Linked DNA regions of Macaca fascicularis. The main gene of each other region encodes a partner of the protein of the gene in region 6 in a complex. Links are inferred from orthologs where the notes say so. Each region holds a gene or a part of one and is shown on either strand. Other genes may lie near its edges.

Evidence for each region.
Region 1: the proteins of TUBGCP6 (region 6) and TUBGCP4 are in contact, whole or in part, in a cryo-EM structure (PDB 7QJE), measured with the Homo sapiens proteins. The link is inferred for Macaca fascicularis from reciprocal best matches to the Homo sapiens genes TUBGCP6 and TUBGCP4. Residues at the interface, in NP_065194.3 of Homo sapiens: Leu312, Thr313, Ala315, Gly316, Arg317, Ala319, Phe320, Phe323, Leu326, His327, Glu349, Pro390, Glu391, Ser392, Ser395, Leu396, Glu399, Tyr403, Ser455, Leu456, Leu457, Thr458, Gly460, Phe461, Lys464, Lys465, Arg468, Arg471, Tyr472, Glu475; in NP_001273343.1 of Homo sapiens: Met1, Ile2, His3, Glu4, Leu6, Leu7, Ser10, Gly11, Tyr12, Pro13, Gly14, Ser15, Ile16, Gln29, Phe31, Pro32, Phe33, Leu34, His35, Pro36, Glu38, Thr56, Ile59, Glu60, Thr63, Val66, Gln67, Gln68, Ile84, Arg87.
Region 2: TUBGCP6 (region 6) and NME7 share a complex: the UniProt entries of both Homo sapiens proteins name them as parts of the gamma-tubulin ring complex. The link is inferred for Macaca fascicularis from reciprocal best matches to the Homo sapiens genes TUBGCP6 and NME7.
Region 3: the proteins of TUBGCP6 (region 6) and TUBGCP3 are in contact, whole or in part, in a cryo-EM structure (PDB 6X0U), measured with the Homo sapiens proteins. The link is inferred for Macaca fascicularis from reciprocal best matches to the Homo sapiens genes TUBGCP6 and TUBGCP3. Residues at the interface, in NP_065194.3 of Homo sapiens: Pro65, Arg67, Asn68, Leu71, Met72, Ser74, Phe75, Asp76, Arg78, Asp87, Glu90, Asp151; in NP_006313.1 of Homo sapiens: Pro9, Asn10, Val11, Leu13, Gln14, Glu25, Ala26, Ala29, Gln30, Phe32, Gln33, Val36, Arg37, Ile39, Gly40, Ser41, Phe43, Thr129.
Region 4: the proteins of TUBGCP6 (region 6) and TUBGCP5 are in contact, whole or in part, in a cryo-EM structure (PDB 7QJE), measured with the Homo sapiens proteins. The link is inferred for Macaca fascicularis from reciprocal best matches to the Homo sapiens genes TUBGCP6 and TUBGCP5. Residues at the interface, in NP_065194.3 of Homo sapiens: Glu290, Ala291, Ser292, Lys293, Arg294, Arg295, Cys296, Trp297, Glu298, Arg299, Val300, Gly301, Cys302, Pro303, Pro304, His306, Arg307, Glu308, Glu309, Pro310, Tyr311, Leu312, Glu314, Lys322, Arg325, Leu326; in NP_443135.3 of Homo sapiens: Asp211, Asp212, Arg213, Trp215, Leu216, His219, Val220, Val221, His222, Trp225, Ser230, Phe232, Pro233, His234, Leu238, His239, Ser240, Asn241, Leu242, Leu264, Val265, Thr266, Glu267, Thr268, Gln269, Arg272, Val302, Thr303, His304, Leu305.
Region 5: the proteins of TUBGCP6 (region 6) and MZT1 are in contact, whole or in part, in a crystal structure (PDB 6M33), measured with the Homo sapiens proteins. The link is inferred for Macaca fascicularis from reciprocal best matches to the Homo sapiens genes TUBGCP6 and MZT1. Residues at the interface, in NP_065194.3 of Homo sapiens: Met1, Ala2, Ile4, Leu7, Phe8, Asp10, Leu11, Cys12, Ala14, Leu15, Pro17, Ala33, Leu37, Val40, Ala41, Ala44, Leu45, Asn48, Ile70, Leu73, Lys85, Arg88, Leu89, Leu92, Val93, Glu95, Leu96, Leu104, Leu105, Ser109; in NP_001065243.1 of Homo sapiens: Asn17, Ala20, Val21, Thr24, Val27, Leu28, Glu30, Ile31, Ser32, Ile34, Leu35, Asn36, Thr37, Leu39, Glu42, Thr43, Leu44, Ile46, Cys47, Arg49, Leu50, Cys51, Glu52, Gln53, Ile55, Asn56, Pro57, Glu58, Ala59, Leu60.
Region 7: TUBGCP6 (region 6) and tubulin gamma-2 chain share a complex: the UniProt entries of both Homo sapiens proteins name them as parts of the gamma-tubulin ring complex. The link is inferred for Macaca fascicularis from reciprocal best matches to the Homo sapiens genes TUBGCP6 and TUBG2.

The regions. Positions count from the first base shown.
Region 1 is NC_088381.1:19,972,732-19,976,231, reverse strand, and holds part of TUBGCP4 (gamma-tubulin complex component 4), read right to left. Parts: intron 2,589-3,500; coding exon 2,423-2,588; intron 2,173-2,422; coding exon 2,048-2,172; intron 1-2,047. UniProt on the Homo sapiens protein: Component of the gamma-tubulin ring complex (gTuRC) which mediates microtubule nucleation.
Region 2 is NC_088375.1:26,996,340-27,000,459, forward strand, and holds the start of NME7 (nucleoside diphosphate kinase homolog 7), read right to left. Parts: upstream 2,801-4,120; 5' UTR 2,714-2,800; coding exon 2,711-2,713; intron 2,535-2,710; exon of another isoform or gene 2,477-2,534; intron 1-2,476. UniProt on the Homo sapiens protein: Possesses an intrinsic kinase activity. Displays 3'-5' exonuclease activity with a preference for single-stranded DNA. Does not seem to have nucleoside diphosphate kinase activity.
Region 3 is NC_088391.1:103,021,299-103,025,275, forward strand, and holds the start of TUBGCP3 (gamma-tubulin complex component 3), read right to left. Parts: upstream 2,801-3,977; 5' UTR 2,630-2,800; coding exon 2,554-2,629; intron 1-2,553. UniProt on the Homo sapiens protein: Component of the gamma-tubulin ring complex (gTuRC) which mediates microtubule nucleation.
Region 4 is NC_088381.1:447,444-451,565, reverse strand, and holds the start of TUBGCP5 (gamma-tubulin complex component 5), read right to left. Parts: upstream 2,801-4,122; 5' UTR 2,772-2,800; coding exon 2,626-2,771; intron 138-2,625; coding exon 84-137; intron 1-83. UniProt on the Homo sapiens protein: Component of the gamma-tubulin ring complex (gTuRC) which mediates microtubule nucleation.
Region 5 is NC_088391.1:63,681,607-63,685,725, forward strand, and holds the start of MZT1 (mitotic-spindle organizing protein 1), read right to left. Parts: upstream 2,801-4,119; 5' UTR 2,758-2,800; coding exon 2,679-2,757; intron 1-2,678. Other genes in the region: BORA (protein aurora borealis), read left to right, coding at 4,071-4,119. UniProt on the Homo sapiens protein: Required for the recruitment and the assembly of the gamma-tubulin ring complex (gTuRC) at the centrosome.
Region 6 is NC_088384.1:1,327,137-1,330,636, reverse strand, and holds part of TUBGCP6 (gamma-tubulin complex component 6), read right to left. Parts: intron 2,504-3,500; exon of another isoform or gene 1,978-2,503; coding exon 1,804-1,977; exon of another isoform or gene 1,749-1,803; intron 1,628-1,748; exon of another isoform or gene 541-1,627; coding exon 419-540; intron 1-418. UniProt on the Homo sapiens protein: Component of the gamma-tubulin ring complex (gTuRC) which mediates microtubule nucleation.
Region 7 is NC_088390.1:63,716,598-63,720,894, reverse strand, and holds the start of tubulin gamma-2 chain, read right to left. Parts: upstream 2,801-4,297; 5' UTR 2,579-2,800; coding exon 2,530-2,578; intron 2,249-2,529; coding exon 2,136-2,248; intron 1,934-2,135; coding exon 1,766-1,933; intron 1,453-1,765; coding exon 1,384-1,452; intron 895-1,383; coding exon 868-894; intron 521-867; exon of another isoform or gene 139-520; intron 1-138. UniProt on the Homo sapiens protein: Tubulin is the major constituent of microtubules, protein filaments consisting of alpha- and beta-tubulin heterodimers. Gamma-tubulin is a key component of the gamma-tubulin ring complex (gTuRC) which mediates microtubule nucleation.

The DNA.
Region 1 (3,500 bases), on a different chromosome or scaffold from region 6:
AGACTGAACATTCTGTGTCTACAACACAGTTCTATCTGTGATGACCAGGAGTTTTTGAGACAGTGACTAGAAAGGGAAACCATATTTATAATAGATTATTATGCTTCCAACCCATGGAGAGTTGATGCTCTTAGCAGTTCCAGACACTGAGCGAAGTGCACTGCTTTTTAGTTCTATTTTCAGAATCCCCTGTAGAGGTTTGTCTTTGGTGGATGGACTGGCTTGCTTAAATAGAAGTTCCTACTGGGCGTGGTAGCTCACACCTGTAGTCTCAGCACTTTAGGAGGCCAAGGCAGAAGGATCGCTCGAGCCCAAAAGTTCAAGACTAGCCTGGCCAACATGGCGAAACCCCCATCTCTATTAAAATACAAAAAAGTTTGCCAAGCATGCTGGTGCAGGCCTGCAGTCCCAGCTACTCAGGAGGCTGAGGCACATGAATTGCTTCAACCTGGGAGGCGGAGGTTGTAGTGAGCCATGATCACTCCACTGCACTCCAGCCTGGGCGACAAAGCAAGACCCTGTCTCGAAAACAAAACAAAACAAAAGTACTGACCCTCTACTGACCTACGAATCAGAAGGTCTGGAAGTAAGGACTTGGTGCAAGTGCAGGTTTTAAAATTTCCTCACGCGGGCCAGGCGTGGTGGCTCATGCCTGTAATCCCAGAACTTTGGGAGGCTGAGGTGGGAGGATCACTTGAGCTCACAAGTTTCAGACCAGCCTGGCCAACATGGTGAAACCCCATCTCTACTAAAAATACAAAAATTAGTAGGGCGTGGTGATATGTGCCTGTAATCTCAGCTACTTGGGGGGCTAAGGCAGGAGAATTGCTTGAACCTGGGAGGTGGAGGTTTCAGTGAGCCGAGATCACGCCATTGCACTCCAGCCTGGGCAACAGAACAAGACTCCATAAAAAAAATAAAAATAAAAACTAAAATTTTCTCATGCGATCCTATGCTTAGCCAATGTTGAAACCCATGAATATAGTTAACAACGCAGTTGACTAAATGTCTCATTTCATGTTATCACACATCCATGAGACAAATGTTAATATAAGCCACAGAACATATATGCTCCTTTGAAAACTTACTGGTCACAATTTAAGTCGGTGGCAGCAGCACAATTCAAAATGAGGAAGACTGCGCTCCAGGAGTTGGAGGCCTGGCACTGACTTCACTATGGCAACTCACTGTGCCACACCAGACAAGCCAGACAAGTCAGTGTGCTGAGTGTTTGCTCCATTTATAAGAATGAGAAAATGATATTTGTTCTGCTTTCCTCATGATTGTGTATTTAAATGAAAGTACAAGTTATAAGCCATACTAAACTACAAGAAAGACACTAAATTTAGTCAGAATTAGTTGATTCCTAGGAGTTATTGCAAACGATAGAGACAGATCCAAAATGCGATTTTCAAAATTTAAACCAAGACCTCCCCTTTATTCAACTAACTAACCAACTAAAAACCACCTGTTTTTTAGTTAGATAGGAAAATGGGAAGGCAGTTCTGCCTCTGTTAATGAAAACTGAGGCTTTTCTTTTTCTGCTTCCTGCCTTCAACTCTCTGCAACAGCTCTTTCCAAGCTCAGTTCTTACCACATCAAGAAAAAAACAAAAGTCAAGTAACTCAATTTCTTTCTTTCTTTTTTTTTTTTTTTTTTTTTGAGACAGAGTCTTGCTCTGTTGCACAGGCTGGAGTGCAATGGCGTGATCTCAGCTGACAGCAACCTCTGCCTCCCAGGTTCAAGCGATTCTCCTGCCTCAGCCTCCTAAGTAGCTGGGATTACAGGCGCCTGCCACCACACCCGACTAATTTTTGTATTTTTAGTAGAGACGGGGTTTCACCATGTTGGCCAGGCTGGTCTTGAACTCCTGACCTCAGGTGATCCACTTGCCTTGGCCTCCCAAAGTGTTGAGACTACAGGCATGAGCCACCGTGCCTGACCAAGTAACTCAATTTCTAGGGAACTAGTCTAATTTTTTTCTAAAAAAAGAAAAATATATATATATATTATATATATACACACACATATATGACGAAACACAAACCTCAGCCACAGTGCTGCGAATGCGATCCACCACCTGTTCAAAGTCCACCAAGCTGAAGAGCGGCTGCTGCTTGAGACGGTGCAGCTCTGCAGCAAAAGTGTCTTCCTGGTTTTTCAAAATGGATCCTGCAAAATAGGAAGGCACCATCAAAGGAGGACAGAGAATACCCAGGACAGTCAGGGTTTTCTAGGGAGGGCTGATCTCGGTGGGGCAGCAACTTCACCTGCTTCTCAGACAAATGTCATGATTCTGCTACAATCTCAGGATAGGAATATTATCGACCACTCAGCTCTGACCAGGCATGCTGGGGGGCCACACAGTGTTAAGGAAGAAGAGCTTTTGAGGGTGCGGTACATTGGACAAGGAGATTTCTACCTTTTCTAGTCAGGTTCACATTTTGATTCTCAAACATCTGGACAGATTCTCCAACAAATAGGATTTTTTCAGCAACCCTCACTGGAATGTAGGATGGCAAAATCTCCACTCGTAGGGAAAACTGCTTCAGAGATGGTGCCAGCATGTTCTCTTCCTCAATCAGGCGCTAGTCAAGGAAAGAGTACACATCAAGATGAAGTACGAAGCAAGAAAAGGAAAACAAGAAAATATCTAGTAACTCTCCCAACCCATGATTTAAAGTAAAGATGCAGGGACTTCAAATCTGGTGTTGCACAGTTCTCGAACCACCCGTTTTGGAGAGACGTATTTCATCTTCAGGCAGCAGAGTGGCATGGTGGAAGTAAGAGTGGCTTTTTAAATACTGCGACTTGGGCCTTCACTCTGCCTTTACTACTGAGTAAACACTTGCACAGTTGACCAGCTTCCTTACTTATATAATGAAAGAGGTGGTCTTTTTTGTTTTCCAGGTCTTCTCTCTCTGTCTGCTCTGCTGGTCCTCCTCAGGGCACTGTCCCAGACTGTCTTTTCCTCTCAGCCTACACTTCTTATACAATCACATCATCTTCTGTGACTGATCAGTGGAACAGATAGTTCTAATTTTTAGGTCACAGACTTCTCTGCAATCATAAAAGCTATGGACCTTCCAGACAAATGTACAGAAATATCACATTTCATGAACCTTCTGAAGCCACCCAAGGGCCCCAGATTAAAAATCTCCAAGCTCCATGCTGATGATTCCATAGGTAGATTTGGAGCAAGCTGGAGTGCTCTCATGAGCCCCAGGTTCAGCCCACTGAACATTTCCCACAAGTTCCTCAAACTCAACATGCCCGCCATTAGACCCATCTTCTTCCCCGCATACCAGCAGTATACACCCCTATCATGACTACTTGCCCAGTTGCTGAAGGCAGAAACCTGGGTATCATCAATGACTCTTCCCTCTTGACTCATTTCCAAGCACTCACTAGGCCTATCGATTCCACCTTCTAAACATCTCTCACACCTCTTTACTCTTTTTTCATATTCAATGTTAGTATCTTTGGTTTAGGGGACTATT
Region 2 (4,120 bases), on a different chromosome or scaffold from region 6:
GATTGGTCTTGATATATTTTTCAGGCTTCTGCATTCTGGCAAACCTCCTGATGCCACCCAGATACATGACTCATACCAAGAAACTGACTCTACTAGTCCTATGACTCTCACCTAGACAACTGACTCAGCACAGGAAGACAGTTTGGAAACACCTATAAATTCATCCCCAACCAATCAGCAGCACCCACTCCCTACCCACCTGCCCACAAAATTATCCCTAAAAACCACAACCTCCAAGCTGTCAGAGAGGTGGATTTTAGAAATATCTCCTATCCTGCCACTCAGCTGCCTTGCCTCCATTAAACTCTTTCTCTGCTGCAACTCCTGCATTCTCGATGTTTGGCCTTTCTGGGAAGCGGGCAAGAAGAACACGTTGGCCTGTAACAGGAGAATAAATAAGAGTTTGGCAAGCAACAAGAGGGTGCAGGTATTCTGTGCAGAAGGAATTGCAAGTGCAAAGTAGAAAGAGGAGGCATACTACCAGTTTGAAGTTGCTTGGTATGTTCAATGAAAAGCAAGTAGCTAAAAGGCAAGATAATTTTTTATAAAAAAAAAAAAAAAAAAGGTATGGAAAAGGAAAGGCAAAAGCTAGACAGAGAAGTGCTTGTTCATGGAGGAATTTGTGTGCCACTCTAGACATTTTACTGTAGGAAATGGGGATTCTAGAGTTTTAAGGAGGTGAGTAAATCAACAGGCTGGGTTTTTAAAAATTCCTTCTTGTGGCAGAGAAAATAATGGATTGGAGAATTTCCAGACCAGACTGTAAAAGTCACTATTAAAATAATCAAGAAATGAGGAGATGACAAACTAAAATTTGATCTAGTGACCAACTGAATATGGGAGAAATAGGAAAGGGAGGAATGTAGGATAACTCTGATTTCTAGTTTAGGTTACAATATAGTAGTAGCAGTATTTAACTTGGTGAAAATAGGAGAAACCAGGAGGAAAGATAGCAAGTTCAGTTTTGGTCATATTAAGTTTGAGGGACCTTTGAGACAGATGTGTCCGGGAAGCAACTGAGTTAGGCATTAGTAGATCTGAGAGAAAAATTGAAATTTAGAAGCAAAATCAAAGGTGTTAATAGAATCCATGTGAGTGGACAAAATCACCCAAGGAAAATGTCTAGACTAAGAAATGAAAGTAATTAAGGAGTGAATTCCAAAGAATGACATTCAAAAACCAGGCACAGCCAGTAAAAGGAATTAATGACTATGAACCTCAGTTGTCACAAACAGACTAAGCGATATAAATTTTGAGAAGTAATTACTGTATTTGGCATTTAAAAGGCCTTTAGAAACTTAAGCAAGAACAACTTTCTTGAAGGCATTAAAGAAGCCAGACAAAAGACTTTTGTCTGTTTGATATAAGTAAAAATAATATCCTTTCAATAAGTTTACTGATAGATAGGAGGACTGGGAAATAACTGGATAAACACAGGATGGATGACATGGTTTTGCTTTATTTAATTTTCATAAGATGTGTGACTTGAGCACTGAGTAGAAGGAACTGAAGAGGAAGAGGCTGAAAGCACAGGAAAGAAAAAAGACAACTGGAAGCGAAATGTAACAGATGGAAGCAAATGAGATCAAAAGCAAAGATGGATGGATTATCCTTTAATATCCCTTTCTCTACACTAGAAATACAAGACTAAAGGCTTGGCAAAAATATAGATCAGTGTGTAGGTTGGGGGCATGAGGTTGAAGAATTGTTATACTCCATCATGTTTAGAAAGGAGAAATGAGAAGGGCAAAAGACAGGGTTTATAAATGGAAGGTTTGAAAATGTCTTTACAGAAAATGGGGCAGGGGAAAACTGGGGTAACCAAAAGGATTGCTGAGTAGTATGAAGAAACAAGGGGTGATGGGTGGGGGCTCTGTTTCTAAATTCGTAGCTATAACTATCTAAAGATCTTTCTATCTTCCAGTCCATTATCCATAAGTGCTTAAAAGACACGATAGTTAAGTGAATTAACTAGAACCCTGGTACTCTCAAACATGTGGGTGAATTAAAATCACCTACAGGTTTATTTAAAATGCAAATACCAAGCCCCATTCCTTTCATTCAGAATTTCCAGGGGTGAAGTCCAAACAGTGAATTGCAGAAGCTCTCCAAGCAATCCCAGGAGAAATTTCTGTTTAAAAAAAAAAAAAAAGAAAGAAAAAAAGAAGAAGAAGAAGAAAGAAAAGAAAAGCAAGCACAGACCTAGAAGGTAAGCAACTGGACAGACGAGAGCTGATCCAACATACATCTGTTAATGGCCCTCGTGGGGGCGTGGGGCAGTGCTCTGCCACTCAGAAAAGCAAAAGGACTCCAAGATCTAGGGAGATTCAGATCAGTGTTGAGACAGTCACATACACACCACCCCACACTCTTAATAAAGCGCGTTAATGTGAATCTGTGAGCATGAAAAATGCCACGATGAACAATGAAAACACATAATGTTGTTCAAAACAGGTGATTAGACTCGATGCCTTACCCTGAATTTTCTGTTTCATTACTCTAGAGACTTAGTAGCATCAGTGGAATTCAGGGTGCTGTAAGAAATACGGAGAGCGAGTAAACTGCAGTAACAGCCCATGGGAAGGGGGAAAGAGATAATGAGGAGAAGGTCGGGAGGACAGGACAACTTTAAGTGCCCATCCGCCCGAAGACTTGGAACGCTAAGTAGCTAGGACCCACAGCCGTTATTCTGACATCCCCTGGCACTCACCATTGTCTCAGGATCTCAGCACTAGAAAATAGGTATCGTTGAGACAGGAAGACACCACCACCAACACCATCATCCGGTTACTCAGGCAACAGAGCACCGCCCACTGTCGCACGGTGCGTGGGACGCCACCGCCCCACCTCTTCGTCCTTAGTGGCTGGGAGTAATCTCAGCTGCGTTCATCCAATCGACAGGCCCGCCCCTCCACGCTGTCGCCTGGGGCTACGAGACGCCGTTTTTCTGTTTCCGGCAGTTTTACTTCCGTTTGTTTAACAGCTGGCCCGGAAGTTTAAGTGAATCTGAGGCTTGGGCTCCAAAAGTTGCTGTACAGTATTTTATTTTAAAGTAGACATCTGTCCGCTTTCCACTTACGGAGGCCTTACAGTGTGTGTTCTGTGTTACTTGAGTTTAAACGCACTGCAGAATGTATTTACCCTTCTCTTTTGGAAACGTATTCCGGAAGCGAAACCCTGAGTAATCGGAAGTGGTTAGGAGTGAGAGAGCTCCTGGATATGTGGAGGGCCTGGGCGGGCCGGCTTCTGAATGGAAGAGGTCTGTGAGAAGTTAGCCTGGTGATACCGATCCGAAGAGCCTATGAAGTGAAGTCCCCTGAAATACGGAGAATAAGAATCTTACAGGTAAATCCGAGGACAAGCAGGTATAACTAAGGATGTTGGAAAGGGACGGAGGTCTGGCTGGAGCTTGGTGGCCAGTAGCTTTGGATTTAGGGAACGATTGTTGTTCCGGGAAGGCTTTTTCAGACAGGAATGGAACTTCGGTTTCGACTTCCCGGGACAGCAAAGGTTGACAGACTTGTCGCTTCCCGGCCTATCGCTCTCATACCTGCTCACTCCCCCTACTTACTTCTTCACCCCCTCACCTTCATTTGGCATTTGCCAGCACGCACTCGGTGTGCCTGTATGTTTCGCAGAGCAACTATCAAGGGCAGTTTCAGGGATCGTTACTCTTACGAAGGGTTTTTTGGATACCTCTTTTCGGAGCAATAGACTGTAGTGTAGAAAAGTTTGTGACTGTTAAGAAAGTTAGTCGTCGGGTTCACTAATTGAACTGAGTTGTATCTAGTACTGAGAGCGATCTTTTTTTGTAGTGACACCAGTTGTCATCTAGTGTACAGTTTGTCATATTTATATCATTGCAGTAGCATCACCTTTTTATATGTTTTCTAGTAAATCTGAGTCTGTACTGTAGGCAGTGTGTACATTTCTGAAAGCATGTGCTCAATATATGTTTCTCTTTTTACTTTTGGAGCTACACTATTTTAACTTTATTACCAAAAAAATATGAATTATGTTATCTTGAGTAATATTTTTTCTCGTTCGTTACACATCTAAACAGAAGCTCCTTTTTGATGTGTGTGTGTGTCTGTGTGTGCATACGAATTGTGTCAGTATG
Region 3 (3,977 bases), on a different chromosome or scaffold from region 6:
TCCTGTAATCCCAGCTACTCGGGGACTGAGGCAGGAGACTGACTTGAATCCAGGAGGCAGAGGTTGCAGTGAGCCAAGATCAGGCCACTGCACTCCAGCCTAGGTGACAGAGCAAGACTCCGTCTCTAATAAATAAATAAATAATTCAGAGAGGACCCTGCCAGGATTTGAGAGCCCACTTTTAATTTAGACACAATTCTAAATGGGAAGACAGTAGGATACAGAATTTTGCTGAAAAGAAGCTTTTCAATCTCTTAGAAGGGGCAAAACTTTTATATCAAAGAATCTTCAATGTTTAAAAAAAAAAAAAAAAAAAAAACGTTTTTGGCCGGGCACGGTGGTGGCTCACGCCTGTAATCCCAGCACTTTGGGAGGCCGAGGCAGGACGATCACGAGGTCAGGAGACCGAGACCATTCTGGCTAACACGGCGAAACCCCATCTCTACTAAAAATACAAAAAATTAACCGGGCGTAGTAGTGGGCGCCTGTAGTCCCAGCTACTCTGGAGGATGAGGCACGAGAACTGCGTGAACCCGGGAGGCGGAGCTGGCAGTGAGCCGAGATAGCGCCATTGCACGGTAGCTTGAGCGACAGAATGAGACTCTGTCTCAAAAGTCTTTAAGTTGAGAAATACCATTTTAGCTCACGATGAATGACTTTCAAAATCCAATTATGACAATGGGAATGTATGAATGTGTGGTTTATCCCTAGAACAAAAAACTCTGGAACCACTGGTACAAGGGAAACACTGACATTAAGTTGGATAAGTCCTATCAATCTTAGTTTTATCTGATTCCCCCTATGACGAGGAACATGAAACATGAGAAAGGAAACTCAGTGTGCTAATGACAAAAACAAAGGAGGACAGGCCATGCTCATAACTCAAGGCCTTTTCGTTGGTTCTCTCTACTCAGAACCTTCCCCAGATGTTCAAACGGCCCTCCCTTACTCCATTCAGGTCTCTGTAAATATTTCAGAGGCTTTCCCTCACCTGTCTCTTCTATTTCTTTCTTTTTTTTTTTTTTTTTGAGGCGGAGTCTCGCTGTCGCCCAAGCTGGAGTGCAGTGGCGCAATCTCAGCTCACTGCACGCCCCACCTCCAGGGTTCGCACCGTTCTCCTGCCTCAGCCTCCCGAGTAGCTGGGACTACAGGCGCCCGCCACCACGCCCGGCTAATTTTTTGTATTTTTAGTAGAGACTGGGTTTCACTGTGTTAGCCAGGATGGTCTCCATCTCCTGACCTCGTGATCTGCCTCTCTCTATTCCTTTACCGTACTTTTTCACCACAGTACTTATTGCTAATTAACATGGCTGGTTTATCATCTGTCTCTTCCACTAGAGTGTCAGATCTGTGGGAGGAATGACTTGTGCATCTGCATCACCAGCACTTAGCATAGTTCCTGGGAGGAACTTTGAGGACGGGGTTGTTCTCAAAGATTTCTTAGATAAATAAAGAGATAAAATGAAACTTTACAAAATGTAGCAAGAATTGTGTGAAGTCACTCATTTAATAGTAACACAAAATAATTCATGATTGCCCAAAGATTATCATAGAACATCCAATGAATTACACGCAGTAATTGTCATGAAGCATAAAAAGTCAAAATGCATTCCCAGTACTTTAAATGTAACTTTGAAGTCTTCCTTCAAAAACTGAATAACTTCTTTTCCACATTTTGGTCCTTAAGACGTAACACACTTGCTTCCATTACTCAGAAAACTCCCTCACGGTGCATACTCACTCTCTCCCCCACCAACCTGGCCAAAACACGGAGCAAGAAATGGCATCCTGTACCATTTCTTTCAAAGTACCTCGGCTACAAAATGGTTTTGCCTACTGTATAGGATTAGTTTAGCTTATTAGTAACAATATTCGCCATGTGAACTTTCCCAGAATAGTTTTATATCAAATCCAACCCTCAACCCTTTAAACAGTAGAAAATATGGCAGATAATCGTTAACACCCCATTCCCATAATGCTCAAGCCTGTTAAACTTTCCTAATGAAAAGGGACGATGATGTGACTCTCCAGCACCCCGCACGCTCCTCCGCTGCGCAGCCGCTCTCTCCACCCCACACAGCATGAACCCAAAGGCACGCAGAGGCGCCCTCCCCTGGCGTGTGACACCAGAGAACCGGGATAAATTGGCGAGCTGGCATTCCTCCCATCCTCACTGACGGACCCGCGCGCGGAGTGAGCGGTGACTCAGCCCGCTCCGGCCCGGGCTCCGCCCTCCCGCCTCCCGGCCCCGCGCTCTGGCCCCGGCCTCGGGCTCTCCACTCCCTCCGTCCCGGTCCCGGCCCCCAGCCCTCCGCTCTCCTCCCTGGCTCCCTGACCCCCGAGCCCCAACCCTCCGCTCTCCTCCCCGGCTCCCTAACCCCGGAACCCAGCCCTCCGCTCCCTCGTCCGGGCCCCACGTCCTCGGCCCGTCCCCAGCCCTCTGCCCCGGCCCTGCATCCTCGTTCCTCCAGCCCCGGGACGTATTAGGGCTGCACGCGCAGGGAGTGGCCCCCGGGGTGGGTCTGCAGGCCCCGCGTCGCCCGGCCCCTCTACCTTCGCTCCTGCCCAGGATCCTGCAGCACAGGTTCTGCAGCAGAACGTTCGGCGACTTCTGGTCCGGGGTCGCCATCCTTGCCCGGGACTGTGCGCGGGGGTCTGGGCAGAGCCGCCACCGCCGCCGCAAGCGCAGGGACTGCGGCCCGCGCCCTCCCTGCGCCCCTCAAGCTCCCGGCTCCCGACAGGCTAAGGCGCGGGCGCCGCCGGCCACCAGGGCGCCATTTTAACGGAACCCGCCGAAAGCGCGGGCGCTTCCCACAATGCCCCGCTTCTTCCCTGCGCCGCGACCGCGCGTGCGGCTGCCTAAGCGTTCCCGGCCCTGCCCTGAGTATTCCCCCGGCTGCTGCCCGTCCGGCCGGGAAAGTTCCGGGCGACAGGTGGCCCGAGGCCCTCGAGCTTCGCGGACAGAGCGGCCCTGGAGTCGCGAGCGTCACGGGCTTCCTTGGAGAGCACTTGGTGGCCGGTAGCACCTTAAAGGCCATAATTTGGTGTGTTTATATGGGGGCGTGTGTGTTAACGGTATTGGTTTGATTCACGCTTCTGATGAAAGAAGCCTGTTTAAAGGGTGCAGGGGGTTATGCGGTGTGGCAAGTCACCTGCTACTCTCCAGCAGGCGCCCTGCTCAGGCCCGACCTCACACCGCCGCGCAGGCCGCTCCCCCAGGTCCGGGTGACTGGGACGTCCTGGGAAAATAAATCAATCACGTACGGAGTGAGAGAACAGGAGAAGACCTGCCGAGAAAAAGATCGATAAGCGGACAATTACACCAAGCCATCTTCAGTGCAATCGTTAAAGCTTACACATGGGTGCACGCTTGGGAGCCGTGAGCTACCATGTTAAAAGGCCAACTTCCTGAAGGAAAAATGATGGAAAGAGATCCCGAGATCCCATGAAATGGAAGAGGGAGGACAATCCAGCTATCCCAACATCCCAGCTGAGGCCAGCCACACATGTGACTGTCTGCAAAGCCCGTCGGGCCTGGGTCCAGCTCTGGTTGCAGAATTGTTAGCAAGTAAAACATTTGTTGGCGTTCTGACTCAAAAACATGGAGACAAAGCAGACTTGTAGGATATTACAGTCAACAACTAGACCCTGCAGCTAAAGGACTGCCTCCTTGCATGAAGCAACAACCATCACAGCTCTGCAAGAGCAACCAGAGCACCAAGGATGCCATCACCCCTCACTGCTTTCGATCCACATTCTGTGGAAGCGCTTCTAAACCTGCACCACACTCAACACGATCAGTTAGTAACTGGCTTCTTATGAAGTTATTCTCTCAGCCCCATACTACAGTGTCCAGATGTCATCTACATTCTGCCAGCCTCTCCCCCACCTTCAGCTGAAACGCTGCATGACTGCATCATCTTATCTGACCAGCTGTCTCCTAGGACAGACATACAAGAAACCCCCCTCACTAACGC
Region 4 (4,122 bases), on a different chromosome or scaffold from region 6:
AACAATGATTATAAAGCTATCTTAAAAAGATCTATAAGAAAATACATGTATTTTAGGATGTGTACATACATACACTGACTTACCCTTCTATTGTTTTTTCTATTTTGTGGCTGTTCACATCCAAGAAACGATGAAATCTAATAAAGACAAAATGCAATTCTTATGCCAACTCTGTCACACAGGTAAGTGAACTCATCTCATGGCCCTCCACATCCCCCATATGCTCTGTACTCAGCTACACACTTCCAGAATGGAGTGTACCTTGTCTTCAGTTACCTCCACCAAGACAGGCAAATAATCACCATGTCCGAGACTGTGCAAGCAACCGTTCTCCAGCACACAGGTGCTTCCTGACCCTCCCAACCTTGGCTCTGGCTCCTCTGTCTTCCCATAAGACCCTGTATCTAAATCCAGCTGAACACATTCTACATCAGGTGGTCCCAATCTTTTTATGCTATAGTGAGGCCCACTGAAGCCTAAGGATCCCTTCTCTGAATAATGTTTTTAAATGCCAAAAACGAAATACAAAGGAATCCAATTATACTGGGGTACAGTTGTCAAATATTTCAAGAAGTTTATGATATGGCAAGAAATGTTATTTATGAAAGTATTAAATAACAAGATTTAGCAGTAGGTACAATAACTACCATTAAAGTAACAGTAAACAACATTTACAAATATCTACAACTCTGATGTGAAAACAGTATGTGAATTCTACTGGCGATAAAGTCACAGGTAGGCTAATACTACTATGGTTTGCTGCCTTCATTTATAATGGAAGGAGATGCTACTTTTCAGTTAGAGATTAGTATAATTTTTTCCTCATCCAAATTAACAAATATCTGAATTATATCTCCAGATCCCAAGGTTAAAATCCCTTTTATCTCTGTCTTTTTTTAAAGACAGAGGCTATATCTTACTCATCTTTGAATTTCTAGGGCCTAGAATTCTAAATGGCCACAATTTTTTTTTTTTTTTTTTTTTTTTTTTTGAGACGGAGTCTCGCTCTGTCGCCCAGGCTGGAGTGCAGTGGCGCGATCTCGGCTCACTGCAAGCTCCGCCTCCCGGGTTCACGCCATTCTCCTGCCTCAGCCTCCCGAGTAGCTGGGACTACAGGCGCCCGCCACCTCGCCCGGCTAGTTTTTTTGTATTTTGTAGTAGAGACGGGGTTTCACCGTGTTAGCCAGGATGGTCTCGATCTCCTGACCTCGTGATCCGCCCGTCTCGGCCTCCCAAAGTGCTGGGATTACAGGCTTGAGCCACCGCGCCCGGCCAATGGCCACAATTTTCAACAATGTAAACATGAACTATTCATTTTTCTGATGGTTTAAAGCATCATAAAATTATAGCATAGCCTATGCAACTAATGTATATGTATATAACATAGCCTATGCAAAAATTGTTTCCCATTTTTTAGTATCAAAGCCAGCAATCTGTACTTAAAAGAAAAAAATTACAATACTGAGAAACACATGAATCTAGTCCAGTAAATGGGTGAATGGTACACCACTTTACCTATTATAATTTAGTTCCTGAAACCTGTGAATGGAAACAGTAACCTCTAATGTCTCTCCCACCTCTAAAATGATGACCATCTGCCTACTGTCATTTAGAAATATTAGTAAAAAAAACTTGAATTTCAGCATTTAAGTTTTTGTGTTGTATAACCTATTTCACACATTGTTTATTTTTGTAAGTCACATTTAAGAATTCAGTTTATTACTTCGGAAACTCGGCATGCTTTAAAAGAATATGAAAGCCCCGTATTCCTATTATAAGCCAACTAGACACTTTATGACTATGATCATTAAAGTAACTAAAATTACGGATTTTAAAAAACTGTTCATTATTCAAGATTTTTACTGAAATTAAACAGGTAGAATATTAACATTAACATTCTCTTAGTAATTTCATTATGGGTAATGACTATAAAAGTATTGTTTAATTTCCCTCTCCCATAAAGAAAAATAGATCTCACTCCACGTATACATCTAAATTCTGTAAGTCTTTAAAAACTAGTTACAAGAGAAACTGCATTAGAAATTGCATTAGCTGACTAAGCCTGCTACGTTGTCAGGCGCTGTGCAGAGATGCAGCATTCTAGTTGGAGTGGAAGCGGAGGAGACAGTCATAACAGGTAAAATCAATGTCATGACACGCGTTTTGTAAAAAGGAGAGCAGGGTGAGAGAGACCTTACACTGGGCTGACCAGGGAGCAGGAGTCAGTGAGAATACAATCTCTTTAATTAAAATAAAATAAAATAAAATAAAAAATTATAGAGATGGAGTTGCTACGTTGCCCAGGCTGGCCTCGAGTCCCGCCTGCGGCCTCCCAGAGCGCTGGGTTGCAGGAGCGCGCCCCGGTGGCAAGAAACCCAGTTCCGCGCTTCCCCCCGTGACGATCAGGACGCGTTCCAGGTAACACACCGTGGGGTGCGCAGAGCACCGCGCCGAGGGCGCTGGCCGGGGGGAGTGGGCGGCGGCAGGGCCTGCGAGGGCTCTCTGAGACCGCGTCCGCCTCAGCCCCATGCCCCGCCCCAGCGCACCCCGACCCCGGGCTGCGCCGGACCCACGCGCGGGCTCCGGGCTGTGTCCCGGGACCCGCTCGCGCGCCGCGCCCCACACCTGAAGTTGGACCAGGCGAAGTTTAGGGCGAGCTGGAAGTTGGGGTCTGCTTCGTCCGGGAGGCCGGCGACACCCCGGACGAGCTCCCGCACGTCGCGCTCCTGCTGCGCGTCCAGCCAGCTCAACGGCGGCCCGTGCCGCGCCATGTTTCGCGCGCCTGCAACGCGCTTCTAACGAATTGGTTGCTGTCGCGCGAGAGTTCGAGGTCCCGCGGCAGTTGCCCCCGAAGCTGGCGGCCTTCTCGCGAGAGTTCGCCTTCCCGTGCCGGGCAACTAGCAAGCTGGCAGTTATTCTCGCGACAGTTCGAGCTCCTGCTGTGGTGGGTACTGCCTGGAGCAGTCCCATGGTGGCGGCTCGAGTGTGCATATTCTGGTCGCCCGACTGTGCATTTTCTACTGTACTCAGAGTTAGTTGGTGTCATCGTGAATTAGATACTTAAGGGTCTCTGGCCAGCCTCGGTGATAGTCAGTGCTTTTGAGAGCAGCCCGTTAGGTGCCCGGTCGGGAAATGCGTTGGGACCTGCCTTTCCAGGAACCCTGACCCGCTCAGCTGCTGAACTCTCCCGGCCATGCAGCTTCTCCTTGCAGTGATGGTCCCCGCGGATCTCAGTGCCCCCATCCACACAACACAATCACGCTACGCACATCCGTGCTACACAACCAGCATCAGCGAAGCAGCGGTCCCGACCGGCTAGCAGTCCCGGCTCGCTTTTACTCCGCCTGCTCCTCAGGGGCGGTTGGGGGGACTTCATAACCCCACCTGGCCGAAGGTACTGGGAATGGGGACTTCATAACCCCACTTGGCCAGAGCTGCTTGGGGGACATCACAACCACACCTGGCCAGAGGTGCTGGGAGGACTTCACAACCACACCTGGCCAGAGGTTCTGGGGGACTTCATAACCACAAATGGCGTGTGCCACCACGCCAGGCTAATTTTTGAATTTTTTAGTAGGGACGGGGTTTCGCCATGTTGGCCAGGCTGGTCTCAACTCCTGACCTCAAGTGATCCATCCACCTCAGCCTCCCAAAGTGTTGGGATTACAGGCATGAGCCACCGCACCCGGCGGTGTCCTGGAACTTTACTGAATTCATTTATGAGTGCTAACAGTTTTTTGGACGAATCTTTGGGTTTGTTTAAATATAAAGTCACATCATCTACAAACAACGACAGTTTGACTTTCTTTCTAATATGCATGCTTTTTGTTTCTTTCTGTGGTCCAATTGCTCTGGTTAAAACTTTGAGTACTATGTTGAATAAGTGGTGAAAATGAGTATCCTTGTTTTGTTCCAGATCAGAGAAAAGGCTTTCAGTTTTTTTCCCATTTAGTGTAATACTAGCTGTGAGTTTATTTTATAAGACATTTATTGTGTTGAAGTAATGTTCTTTCTATGGACAGTTTGTTCAGGATTTTTCTCATGAGAGGATGTTGAATTTTGTTGAATTTTTTTTTTTAATTTTTTAATTTTTTTGAGACGGAGTCTCACTCTGTCGCCCAG
Region 5 (4,119 bases), on a different chromosome or scaffold from region 6:
AGGAGTTCGAGATCAGCCTGGCCAACATGGTGAAACCCTGTGTCTACTAAAAATACAAAAATTAGCCAGGCATGGTGGCGGGCGCCTATAATCCCAGTTACTCCAGAGACTGAGGCAGGAGAATTGGGTCCTATCCCCAGCTTGAACCTGGGAGGCAGAGGTTGCAGTAAGCCAAGATCACGCCACTACACTCCAGCCAGACTCAGTCTCAAAAAAAAAAGTAAGTGTTATGATAAAGACTCTCGTAAGGAATAACTATCAAAATTAAAATTCAGATGCATAGGATGATTTGAGAGGAAAACAAAAATTAAAGTATAAAGCAATCAACAGAGAATACCTAACATATCAAAAAACTGAAAAGCAAAGGAGGCAACCATACCCAGTGGGTTGGGCGGGGGGTGTTGTTGAAAAGGCACGACTATTTTAAGAGAATGCAGAATTTTAAGGATATAAGGATGAAAGCAAAGATCTCATGCAGACCGTATTCTAAATAGGCAGGGATAGTTCTTTTCAGAGTGAGCTACACAGATAACTGATTAATACAAAGTCAGCCTGCTGCCTCCCATGTCTTTAACAAAATCCTTCCATTTCATGATCAAAACGCAAATGTAGCCAAGAGTTCTGCAATTCATATGACTTAAAGGGGGGTTCACAAATCCTGCCATTGAGGGGAGAAATGGTACTCAAAGTTTTGAAAATTTCACTTTTGATCTCACGGGTTGATTTAAATACTGTGAAACACCACATCCCCTCTCCTTCATTTTTTGTTTTACTTCACTTTTTCATGTTCTTATTCTCTCTATAATCTTCATTTTACACCAGGTTTTCTCAGAAAAGATCTTGATGATGTAGCCAACACAAATCATCAGTTCTCAATTGTACATCAGTGGTTCCACCGAGAGAAAATATGAGTTTTCTATTCAAATAGGATCCTACGACCATATACATAAGGAACCTAAGTACAGCTAACATAAGAAAACAGGCTAGAAGTGAGGTCTTATACTCTACCTTTTTCCAAGGAAACATACAAGATAGTAAATTTTTATACACACAGACACACACACACACATACACATGCATAAATTCACTTACAAAATAAAACTAGTAAGTGTTGATACATCGAAAAGGATAGAAAAATAGGCTGAATATTAACATTCTCAGAAAAACAGCAAGGTAGATACTGAACAAGTGAAAAATTAGATGCAAAGTCTCTAAAAATGTAATTCTTTGAAAAGGAACGAGCAGCCAGTGCAGAAAAAGCCAGCAGCCCTTCTGCAGGGGCTATGTAAGAAAATGAGGCCGGGGGTGGTGGCTCACACCTGTAATCCTAGCACTTTGGGAGCCCAGGTGGGTGGATCACCTGAAGTCAAGAGTTCGAGACCAACCTGGCCAACATGGTGAAACTCCGTCTCTACTAAAAATAAAAAAAAATTAGCCGGGTGTGGTAGCGGACACCTGTAATCCCAGCTACTCCGGAGGCTGAGGCTGGGAAGAGTTGCCTGAACACAGGAGGCGGAGGTTGCAGTGAGCTGAGGTTGCGCCACTGCACTCCAGCCTGGGCAACCACAGCATGACTCCATCTCAAAAAAAAAAAAAAAAAAAAAAAAAAGCCTACAGTGAAGGAGAAAGAGATACAGGAGTGAGAATTTCATAGGGTTATCTTTTAACAGAGAGGGAAGCTGACTTAAGTAGCCTCTGGAAAACGTCTAGGCCCACTGCAAATGACATTTAACATCGATCAAACACTCATAATACAGGTGGATGTGAGTAAAAAGGAGACAAAGGAGACTACAAGAGAGATGACATCGGAAATAATATAAAAATAATTGATCATCTTTGATATATTTTTACATGGTTGTCTTATTTAAATATTCACAACTCTCGGAGGCAGGATTTTATTTTAAACAAACAGGCTCAATGTTTAAGTATCTAGTCCAAGCTCACCACAGGGTTATAAAGTGGCATTAGAGAGTAGAGAGAAGGTAACCGGCAAGACACTAATTTCGTGTTCTGCAACGCTTGTGTAGGCTCCAGGGCTTGTGTAGGCTCCAGAGCTTGTGTAGGCTCCAGGGCCGAAAACAGGCGACACCCATAGCACTTGGGCACTGGCGTCACCCGCTTCAAGAGGAAACTAGGATAATTCTGACGAAGGGGGGAACTTAATCATTCGCAGGATATTAAAGGCCGCCTACTTAAGTGCGAAGAACACGAGGCATAGCGGTGACCAAACACCTGGCCCCTGTCCCCGCCAGGATCCCAACCTTGGGGACCCCCGAAGCGCCCTGCGCGGGAATCCGGTGGGACGCGGCGCGCAGGAGGGAACGGGTGTACTGGGTGGGGTGGGCGTGGCGCTGTCACCGCAGGAGATCGGGCGGGTAGGGCGGACCTGGGACGCGGGATAGAAGGGGCGCGGCATTCGCGCGAGAAGGACGCGGTGCGCAACCGGCTGACTAGGGGGCCGCAACGTCTGGCGCGCGCGACAAACTACGCAGCGGCGGAGACAACTCTCAAGGGATAGGGCCATCAGTCCTGCGGCCCTGGCAGGTCCCTTCCAAAGATCTTCGAAGATGCCGTTTGGGGCACGAAGGGGACCTGAAGTCCTCCCCAGGCTCAGCTCCGCCTGGGGGCCTTGGCTCTGGGAAGGCAGGCAAGGTAAAAGGAGCGCAACTGACACTCACCGTCCATGGTCTCCCGCACCGCATTCAGATTCGCCCCCGCGGCCGCCGCCGCCCCCCCAGCGCCGCTGCTACTCGCCATGGCTAAGGCCGAGGGAGGCGTGAGAAGGGCCTGACCCGGAACTGGAGCGCCTTCCTCTCTCCCGGGCAATCACACGGCGCGTCTCCGCTCACGCCGGGCAGGCTCCGCCCCTCGCGCTCGCCGCCGGCGTGAGGCTGCGTTGATTTGAATTTGGAGCCTCGTTCCTCTGCGCGGAACGTGGAGCGAGGAGTTGCTATTCGAATTTTCTACGCGGCCTCCGTGCAATTGGTTGGTTCGCGGATGGCGGGACGACGCGATTGGCCAGTCGCTCACAAGCCCCGTGCCCTGGTTGGCCCAAGACAGCGCGGAAGCGGGGAGTTAAAGAGTCTGTGCCTGACGTGGAAGCTGGCTTGGCCCCCGGGAGCTCCCTGTAGTCGGTATTGGGGGCTTCGTTTTCTACGCACCGGTAGGTAGGTTTTTTATGGTCCCTGACCTTTCCTCCTGTCTGAATGGAGAGGTTTCTTTTCCCAGCTCCTGACTTGCCTGCCCGCTGGACCCTGGTGAATGGGAGCAGTCAGGGAGTAGGTGTGGAAGACAGGGGCACCAGAAAGAGTGGCCACGTAGGGTGGGGGGCGACGCCTCCTCGGCGCTCCGTCCGAGGAAGCCGGCTGCATCTCAACCTTACAGAAGTAGACTCTTCTCCACCCCACCCCGCCAAGTTGTAGCCTCCTTTGATTGGAAATAATGCAGAGTCGCTTTCTATCCTGGGAGGGCTGAGGGGGAGGTCTTGGCGAAAGGAGGATTTTTGGAGGAAAGGGGACTCAAGGCAGTTAATTTCCTAGCCCCTGTCAATCATACTTCTCTGGCTAGGACTCATGTGTAAGAAAGGCACAAGCTTCTGCATCTCTTACCTGCTTGCTACAAAGAATTGTTTAATAGCAACTGTAGTTGGATGGGGTATCCGAAGAATGTTCATAGTGTTGAGACGTGAGATGATGAATTTTAAAAAAATTGTAGCTATAAGTCCTTTAGTTGAGAAGAGATTTGTGCCTGTTGTAACCTTTAGATCTGAATTCATATTTGATTGCTGCGTATAAGCCACTTCACGTCTCTGAGCTTGTTAATTCTTTCACAGAATAATATCACTAATAACTTACTGCTATAGCTTTCAAGGTTATTTCGAGGATCAGTTGAGAACATTTATATGTGATACTTTTTTCATAAGCTGTATCATAGCCCCAAGAGTGTTAGGTTTTGAGTTGTTTTTGTGACACATTTGTCGAATACATTTTAATAGGTAAAATTAATATCTATGGGACTTTGTAATTTTAACATATGTACTCTTGATTTCTCTTTAGTTTTCTCTCTGTGCTATGGGAGATGTCAAGGAATCTAAAATGCAAATAACACCAGAAACTCCAG
Region 6 (3,500 bases):
CTCAGGGCTGCCACATTCTGCTCCTCTGCCTGGAAGGTCGCCTCTCCCACTGCTCCCAACGCCCAACTCCTCACTCTTCCTCGTCTGACAGCACTTGCCAGTAGCTCCCCAGCCTGGTTGCTCAGTAACCAGCTTGTGTGTACCAGAAGCCACATCCCTAGGGACCCTGTGTGCCAATTAGGCAGGAGCCACCAGGCCTGGAGGGCCTGGATGGGGCCAGCTGTGGTAGGCCCATGGGAGACACACCCACTCTGCCTGGCACCTGGTGAACTCGGCCAGCCAAGGGCCATCCAGTCACCTGCTGAGGGCTGTTCTCAAAGGCCCTCCTTGCCAGGAAGCAGAGCAAACCCTCCATCACCCAGCAAGCTCCATGCCACTCCTGCAAAGTCCCCTGCTCAGTCGCCATGCTGAGGCTCACCTGAGCTGCCGGCCCAGTTTCTTGAAGAGAAAACCAATGGTGAGGAGGCTCAGGGTGGGCGAAGTGGAAAGGACGCAGGCCCGGTAATACTGCAGGTACCTCCTCAGGCCACTGGTGAAGGCCTGTGGGCAAAGAGGCTGGGAGGAGGGTGGCCAAGCACATGGACGCAGCTGTGACCAGGGCCTGAGGGGCACCAGTACTGGGCACAGCGCTTTGTTTCCTGCCTCAGCTCTGGGCTCCATTTCCAAGCAATGGGCCTCTGTGAGCCACGTCCCACCACTGGACCAGGTGGAAATGTGGCCCGTCCACAAGAAGCCAGAAGCTGTGGCCCCCCCACCAACCCTTCCTCTCATCTGAGACCAGCTGCCCCAGGGGCGTGGCATAGGGGTTGAGGGGTGAGGGGGGAAATGGCGGCTGCGCTCTGTGCACAGACACTAGTGCTGTGAGAGCTGCGTCTGCTCGGACCACAGTGGTCTCAGTGGCACCAGCATCCTGGGCAATGCCACAGCAGCAGGCCCTGCAGGTCACACCAAGACAGGCGCACCCTGGACCAATCTCAGTCCACCCACCCCAGAACCCGCCTGGCCACGCCTGCCAGATGAGTGGGAACCACAGTCCAGCCCTTCTCAGTGTCCCTGCTCTGCCCCCTTCTCCACCATCTGCAGCCCTCAAGTCCCCCAGGGCTGAGCCTCTGCCTAGAAGCTCTCCCCGTCCCATGCAGCTCCCACCATGTCCACCTCCGCAGCCCGTCTAAAACCTAAACCTCACCACATCACCCCACCCTACAGCCCCTGCTGTGGCAGCAACAGTTGAAGGAGGCTGCGCCACCTGGCTCCTCCAGTGCTCTCTGCCCACCTTCCGAACACCCTCCTCTCAGCCCCCAAATTACTGATCATCCGCCTGCCTATTCTCTCCCAGTCAAGGTGCAGCCTCTGTCCCATGGGTCTCTACTCAGCATATGAGCCAGCTTCAAGACTCACCAAAGAGCGGCTTCCGGAGCCAGACTTGGCTCAGAACGCCCAGCAATGTAAATTCACCCAACACGAGGGCCAGGCAGCGTCAGTCATCCGCAATGTGCCGGGCCCACTGGGGAGCAGGCGGCAAGAGCCCCACTAACGCCTTTCCTGCCTCGCATGCCCCGAATGCTGGCTGCACCTGCCTCCCACACACCCCAGGGCCCACACGCATCTGCCCCAGGTTTCCAGTGAGGTAAAACATCTTCACTGACCCATCCCTCACAAGCCACTATTGGGTTTCAGATGTTAGCAAGGAAAGAAAAGGTTTAGACTGTCTGGTCCTGCAGAAGGACTTCTGAGATTCTCTTTTCCAGGTCGTGTGCACCGTTCTCACAAGGATGTGTGACAGCCACGAGGCAGAGGCCGTACCTGGAACACGAGGCCCTTGCTGTACGAAGAGTCCAGGACCGGCTGCAGAGAGAAGTGACTCAGGCGCGTGTAGCAGGTCCCATACTCGGCCACCTCCGAGAGCAGGCTGCTGATGCTCTCGGGAGACGCTCCCGACACGTGGACACCCCGCTTCACCACAAAGGCCTGGGCCGGCTGCACAGGGGTAGAGGACACTGCTCAGAGGCCAGGCACCCAGACCCCCAGGAAGGTGCCATCTCCTTCCACCCTTGCACCCAACCCCACACCACCTAGAGTGCCCCCAGGACCCAAAAGCAAACGCCCAGAAGGCGCACCCAGAACTCCTACACTGAGGGACAAAAACGTACAAACCAAAACAAGGCACAAATTCTCACCACACTGAAAAATACATGTTTAAAATGCCAAGTGTAGAAAAGGGTAGGAAACAACAGAACACCTTCCACAGGACACAAGTACACAGACAGCCTCCTAGGGCAGAAGCTATAAAACATGTTTGCCGTGAGACCCGCTCATTCAACTCTTCGGGATGAAAGAGCGGAAACGATGGAAGATGCACAAAGACTTGCCACAGCACATTCCCCGCAATGTGTTTGTAACCAGAGAGTGGAGACCCCCAGTAGAGGGCTCATGACAACCGAAACGAACGGGGTGCAGCAGAAGCCAGGAGGGAGGTTACAGCTGCAAATACGCACGTTAGAAAGGAAAAGAGATATCCCACATTACAAGGAAACAAGATACTAAATCACAACAGCACTGTGTATATCCTAAAGAGATATTTTAAAAAGAGCTGTTAGGCCAAGCACAGTGGCTCACACATATAATCCCAGCACTTTGGGAGGCTGAGGCAGGAGGATCACTTGAGCCCAGGAGTCTGAGACCAGCCTGGGCAACATAGCGAGACCCCCATCTCTACAAAAATTTTAAGTTAGGCCAGGCATGGTGGCTTACGCCTGTAATCCCAGCACTTCAGGAGGCCGAGGCGGGTGCATCACTTCAGGTCAGGAGTTCGTGATAAGCCTGGCCAACATGGCAAAGCCCCGTCTCTACTAAAAACACAAAAATTAGCCGGGCATGGTGGTGTGCACCTGTACTCCCAGCTACTCAGGAGGCTGAGGCAAGAGAATCGTTGAATGTGGGAGGCAGAGGTTGCAGTGAGCTGAGATTGTGCCACTGCACTCCAGCCTAGGCGACAGAGTGAGACTCCGTCTCAAAAAAAAAAACAAAAAACACACAGACATCTCTAGGCTGGGTGTGGTGGCTCTTGCCTCTAATTCCCGCACTTTGGGAGGCCCAGGCCGGCGCATCACGAGGTCAGGAGATCAAGACCATCCTGGCCAACATGATGAAACCCTGTCTCTACTAAAAATACAAAAAGTTAGCTGGGCGTGGTGCTGCACACCTGTAGTCCCAGCTACTCAGGAGGCTGAGGCAGAAGAATCATTGAATGTGGGAGGTGGAGGTTGCAGCGAGCTGAGATGGCGCCACTGCACTCCAGCCTGGGCAACAGAGCAAGACTCCGTCTCAAAAAAAAAAAAAACAAAAAAAATTTAAAATTAGCTGGGTGTGGTGGTGCAGGCCTGCTGGTCCCAGCTACTCAGGAGGCTGCAGCAGGAGGATCAATTTGAGCACAGGAGGTTGAGGCTGCAGTGAGTCATGTTTGAACCACTGCACTCCAGCCTGGGTGATCCTGTCTCAAA
Region 7 (4,297 bases), on a different chromosome or scaffold from region 6:
CAGGTCCTGGGCTCAGGTGATCCACCCGCTTCAGCCTCCCAAAGTGCTGGGATTACAGGCATGAGCCACTGTGCCTAGTCAATATTTTCAATTTGTGATGTCCTGATAAACCCACTGTAAGTTGAGAAGTATCCGTACCTAAAGATAGCATCGGATCCCACAGAGTGAAGGCTCAGTCCCACAAGACTCTCCCACTTCCAATGCCAATACAAGCTTCAGGTTGTTTTATCTGTGCCTCTGACCAACCGGCTATAAATTGGGGTTCTCAGGACTGCTCCTTGGGTTCAATTAATTTGTTAGAGTAGCTCGCAGAACTCAAGGAGACACCCACTTACGTTTACCCGTTTGTTATAAAGGATATTTTAAAGGATACAAATAAACAGCCAGATGAAGAGATACCGAGGGGAAGCTCTGGAAGGTTCCGGCGCACAGGAGCTGCTGCCCTGTGGTGCTGGGTTTGCAGCCTCCCGGCCTGTGGATGTGTTCTTGTTCACCTTCCTGGAAGCCCCCGAACTCAGTCCTTTTGGATTTTTATGGAGGCTTCATTACACAGGCATGACTGATTAAATCATTGACAATTGGTGCTCTACTCAATCTTCATCCCTCTCCCTTCCCCAGAGGTGAGGGATGGGCCTGTAAATTCCAACCCTCAGAGCACCAGGTTTGTTCCCCTGGCAACCAACACCCCATCCAGTGGCTATCTGGGACTTTCCAAAAAATCGCCTCTTTAACATAAGCTCAGGTTTGGTTGAAATGCACTTGTTCCTCCTTAGTACAGCGGTTAGTAAAATTAACTAATTAAAATAAAATGAAAGATTAATCTAAAAGAAAGGGGCTTGTTATAAATAACAAAAGACTGTCTTTCACCTTTATCACTCTGGAGCTGTTCTGGAGCTGTTTCAGAAACCAAGGACGAAAGGTCAAATATTGTAACAAAACATACTCTTATTGCTCTAGTCCCTTAGGAAATTACATGGGTTATAAGAGTTGTAAGCCAGGAACACATCGCGCCCAGCATGGGGAGAGACGGAGAGGCAGTCTCCAAGGATCTGGGGGAAGACTTCGGCATGGCTCATTCCCCATTCCCAAAACGCCCATGTCTCAAAGCTTCCTCTTACGCATCCAGGCTGAGGCTCCTTGGGAAGGTTTGGAGCTGGAGAAGCTGAGTGACTCATGCCTAAGGGGCCAGTGCCATTCAGATTTATGACTTCCTTAAGAACAAAGATTATATTTTATTCACCTCAATATCCCACATCTGATGCTCCATAAATGGGTTTTGAATTGAATTGCTCCCCTCACATCACCTATCCAGGCCACCTCCTGACGTTTCCCCAGCACTCTTCAGCCTCCCTGCCCATTCCTTCCCCCACTCCATAACTTCACCTCTAAACTGTCACTTCCATCTGCTTCTCGGTCTATGATATCAAAGATGTCTTCATGAATTTTCTCACCCTGTATAGAGACATGGAAAGGGAGGGTCAGGCCAAAGGTTCCAGAGCGCATCTTTTCTCAGTACAGCACTGTCTACCCTGGAATACTGTTGCCACCCTGAAGCAAAGCCTAGGCTGTAGCCCTCAACCCAGAAGTGCTACTATTGCAAATGATTTGCACAAAATTTGCATAAACCTCTCCCTGGCTGTCCCTCTTGTTTGGGGAATCCTTTTGTCTCTTATTTTCTGGCAGTCTGGTCAAATTCCTAGTAGCTTGAGCCTCCCTTGCCTCTGGATGGGACTATCAAAGGTCTCTGGAATAGTCGCCCGGACACCTGGGAGAATCCACTGGCCCAGTTGTTGCCAGCTCCTCCTCCATGCTCCGACAGGTAGATGTTCTCTGGGTTGTAGAGCTTGGCATAGGGGGAGTTGAGGATGGAGTGGATCACCCGGGGCTCCAGGTCCAGCAGCACGGCCCGGGGGATGTAGTGCTCATCGTCTGCCTGTCAAGGGGAGTCCAGGAGGGGGCCCAATCAGCTAGGGTGGCCCAAGTCCTAAGTCCTCCCAACTCTGGCTCCCTCCAGCCCTCCCTCCTCAAGCCAGCCGCCTGGCCCCACTGCCCAGCAGGGTTCCCAGTACCAGGCCACTCCCTTCCCTTCTGGCCCCTCGGGCCATTGCCGCCCTTGGCCAAGTCGCTGGGGGCACCTGGTAGAAAAAGACGTCCTTGCGGTCAGTGCCTTCGGTGGCGAACTCCTCCACGATGCCCTCGGGGCTGATACCATGCTCAGCGCACAGCTGTTTCCAGAACTCGAACCCAACTGGGGGAGGGGGGAGATGCCCGGGTCTGCTGGAGCCTTAAGGCCTGAGGAGCCCAGTTTTAGTCTCAGAGGCCGACACGATCAGAGGGTGGACCCAAGATGCCTGGGTCTGGTGGCTGCCCCAGTCCCGGGCTGGGAGCGCAGCTCTCGGTCTGGGTTATCCAGAGCAGCAGGCTAGGGGGTTCATGGAAGGGGAAGGGGGACTGGTGGAAGCCAGGCACTTGGGTGGGACCCAAAGGGGCAGAACCAGAGACCGGTGGGGGCGGCGCTCGCTTGCTCACTCTGGTTGCCGCACTGGCCCAGCTGCAGGGTGATGATCTCCCGGGGCATCGCTCTTCAGACGTGGGCGCCCCAGCCCCGGCCTGGCGAGAGTCACGGCTGAGACGAATGCCTGGCAGCCAGGCGCGCAGGACGTGGGGAGCGCGCGCTCTCTTCGCCTCTTGACGCGGATGCTCGGTCTGCGCGTGTGCAGCGCAGGCCTCTCCTCGGCCGGTGGGCCGTGGAGCCCAACCTGGGCATCATTTTCTTCCTCAGCAGTCGCAGCTGGAATTCGGCACAAGCGCACAGTCAGGCCACGCCTGCTCCTGCCCACCGCTCCGCGCCTGCGCAGTGAGACTTGTTAGGGGTGGCAGGGTCGGAACATGGATGTGTGGGGGAGGGGAGGGGAGCGGAGGGGAGGGGAGGGGAGACGCGGGAAGGGGAAGGGAGGGGAGACGCGGGAAGGGGAAGGGAGGGGAGGGTAGGGGCGAAGCGACCAGGTGGACGTGCTTGTCCACGTGTAAGGAGTCACCTACCTATATTGGTAGGTGAGGACTCTGCCAGCTTTGCTAGGTCCAAGGGCTAGAAGCCAGCTTTTCTTCGTTTAAATTTCTATGTTTCAATGGTGTTACAATACATACACATGTATGTTACCTTTTCATTTTTTATTTTTTAGAAGTGTCTCGCTCTGTCGCCCAGGCTGGAGTGCAGTGGTAAGATCATAGCTCACTGTAGCCTCGAACTTCTGGCTTAAGTGATCCTCCCACTTCAGCCTCCCGAGTAGCTGGGACTACAGGCGTGTGCTACCACGCCCAGGTAATTTTTAAATTTTTAAAATGTATTTTTATAAAGATGAGGATCTCACCGTGTTGCCCAGGATGGTCTTGAACTCCTGACCTCAATCAATCCTCCTACCTCGGCCTCCCAAAATGCTGGAATTACAGGCATGAGCCACCACTCCTGGCCAAAATTTACCACTGTAACCATTTGTAATTACTGCATACAGTTCTGTGGCATCAAGTACACTCACATTGCTCTGTAACCGTCACCACCATTCTTTTCTAGAACTTTCTCATCTTCCCAAACTGAAACTCTATAGCGATTAAACAGTAACTTCCCCTTGACTACTCTAGGCACCTGATATGAGTAGAATTATACAGTATTTGTCTTTTTGGGTCTGGCTGCTTTCACTTAATATCTTCAAGATCCTTCCATTTTGTAGCATGTGTCAGAATTTCCTTCCGTTTTACAACTGAATAATATTACGTTGTATAGATGTACCACATTTTGCATAACCATTCATCCCTCCATGGACATTTGGGTTGCTTCCACCCTTTGGCTGTTGTGAATGTTGCTGCTTTGAATGTGAGTGTACAGATATCTGTTCGAGTCTCTGCTTTCAATTATTTTGGATATACACCCACAGATAGAATTGCTGGATCCTATGGTAATTCTGTTTAATGTTCTGAGGAATCGCCATATGATTTTCCATGGTAGCTGCAGCGATTTTATATTCCCACCAGCGATGCACAAGGGTTCAATTATATAGGAGGCTATTGGTTTGCACTGAGCTCCTGTGCTAGGCCCAACAGACCAAACCAAAATGGAGTCACTCATGCTAAAGTTCCATGTCACTAAGCAACACTAAGTTGTTTATCAAACCTTCAGAGGAATCAGGAGAGAGAAGGAACAGCCAAAACCCCAAACAGGCCAGTTTTAGCCGGCATGATACGGAAGTCCTTTCTTCTTTAACCTTTACAAGACAAGTAACTTTGAAATGACCAATCTACT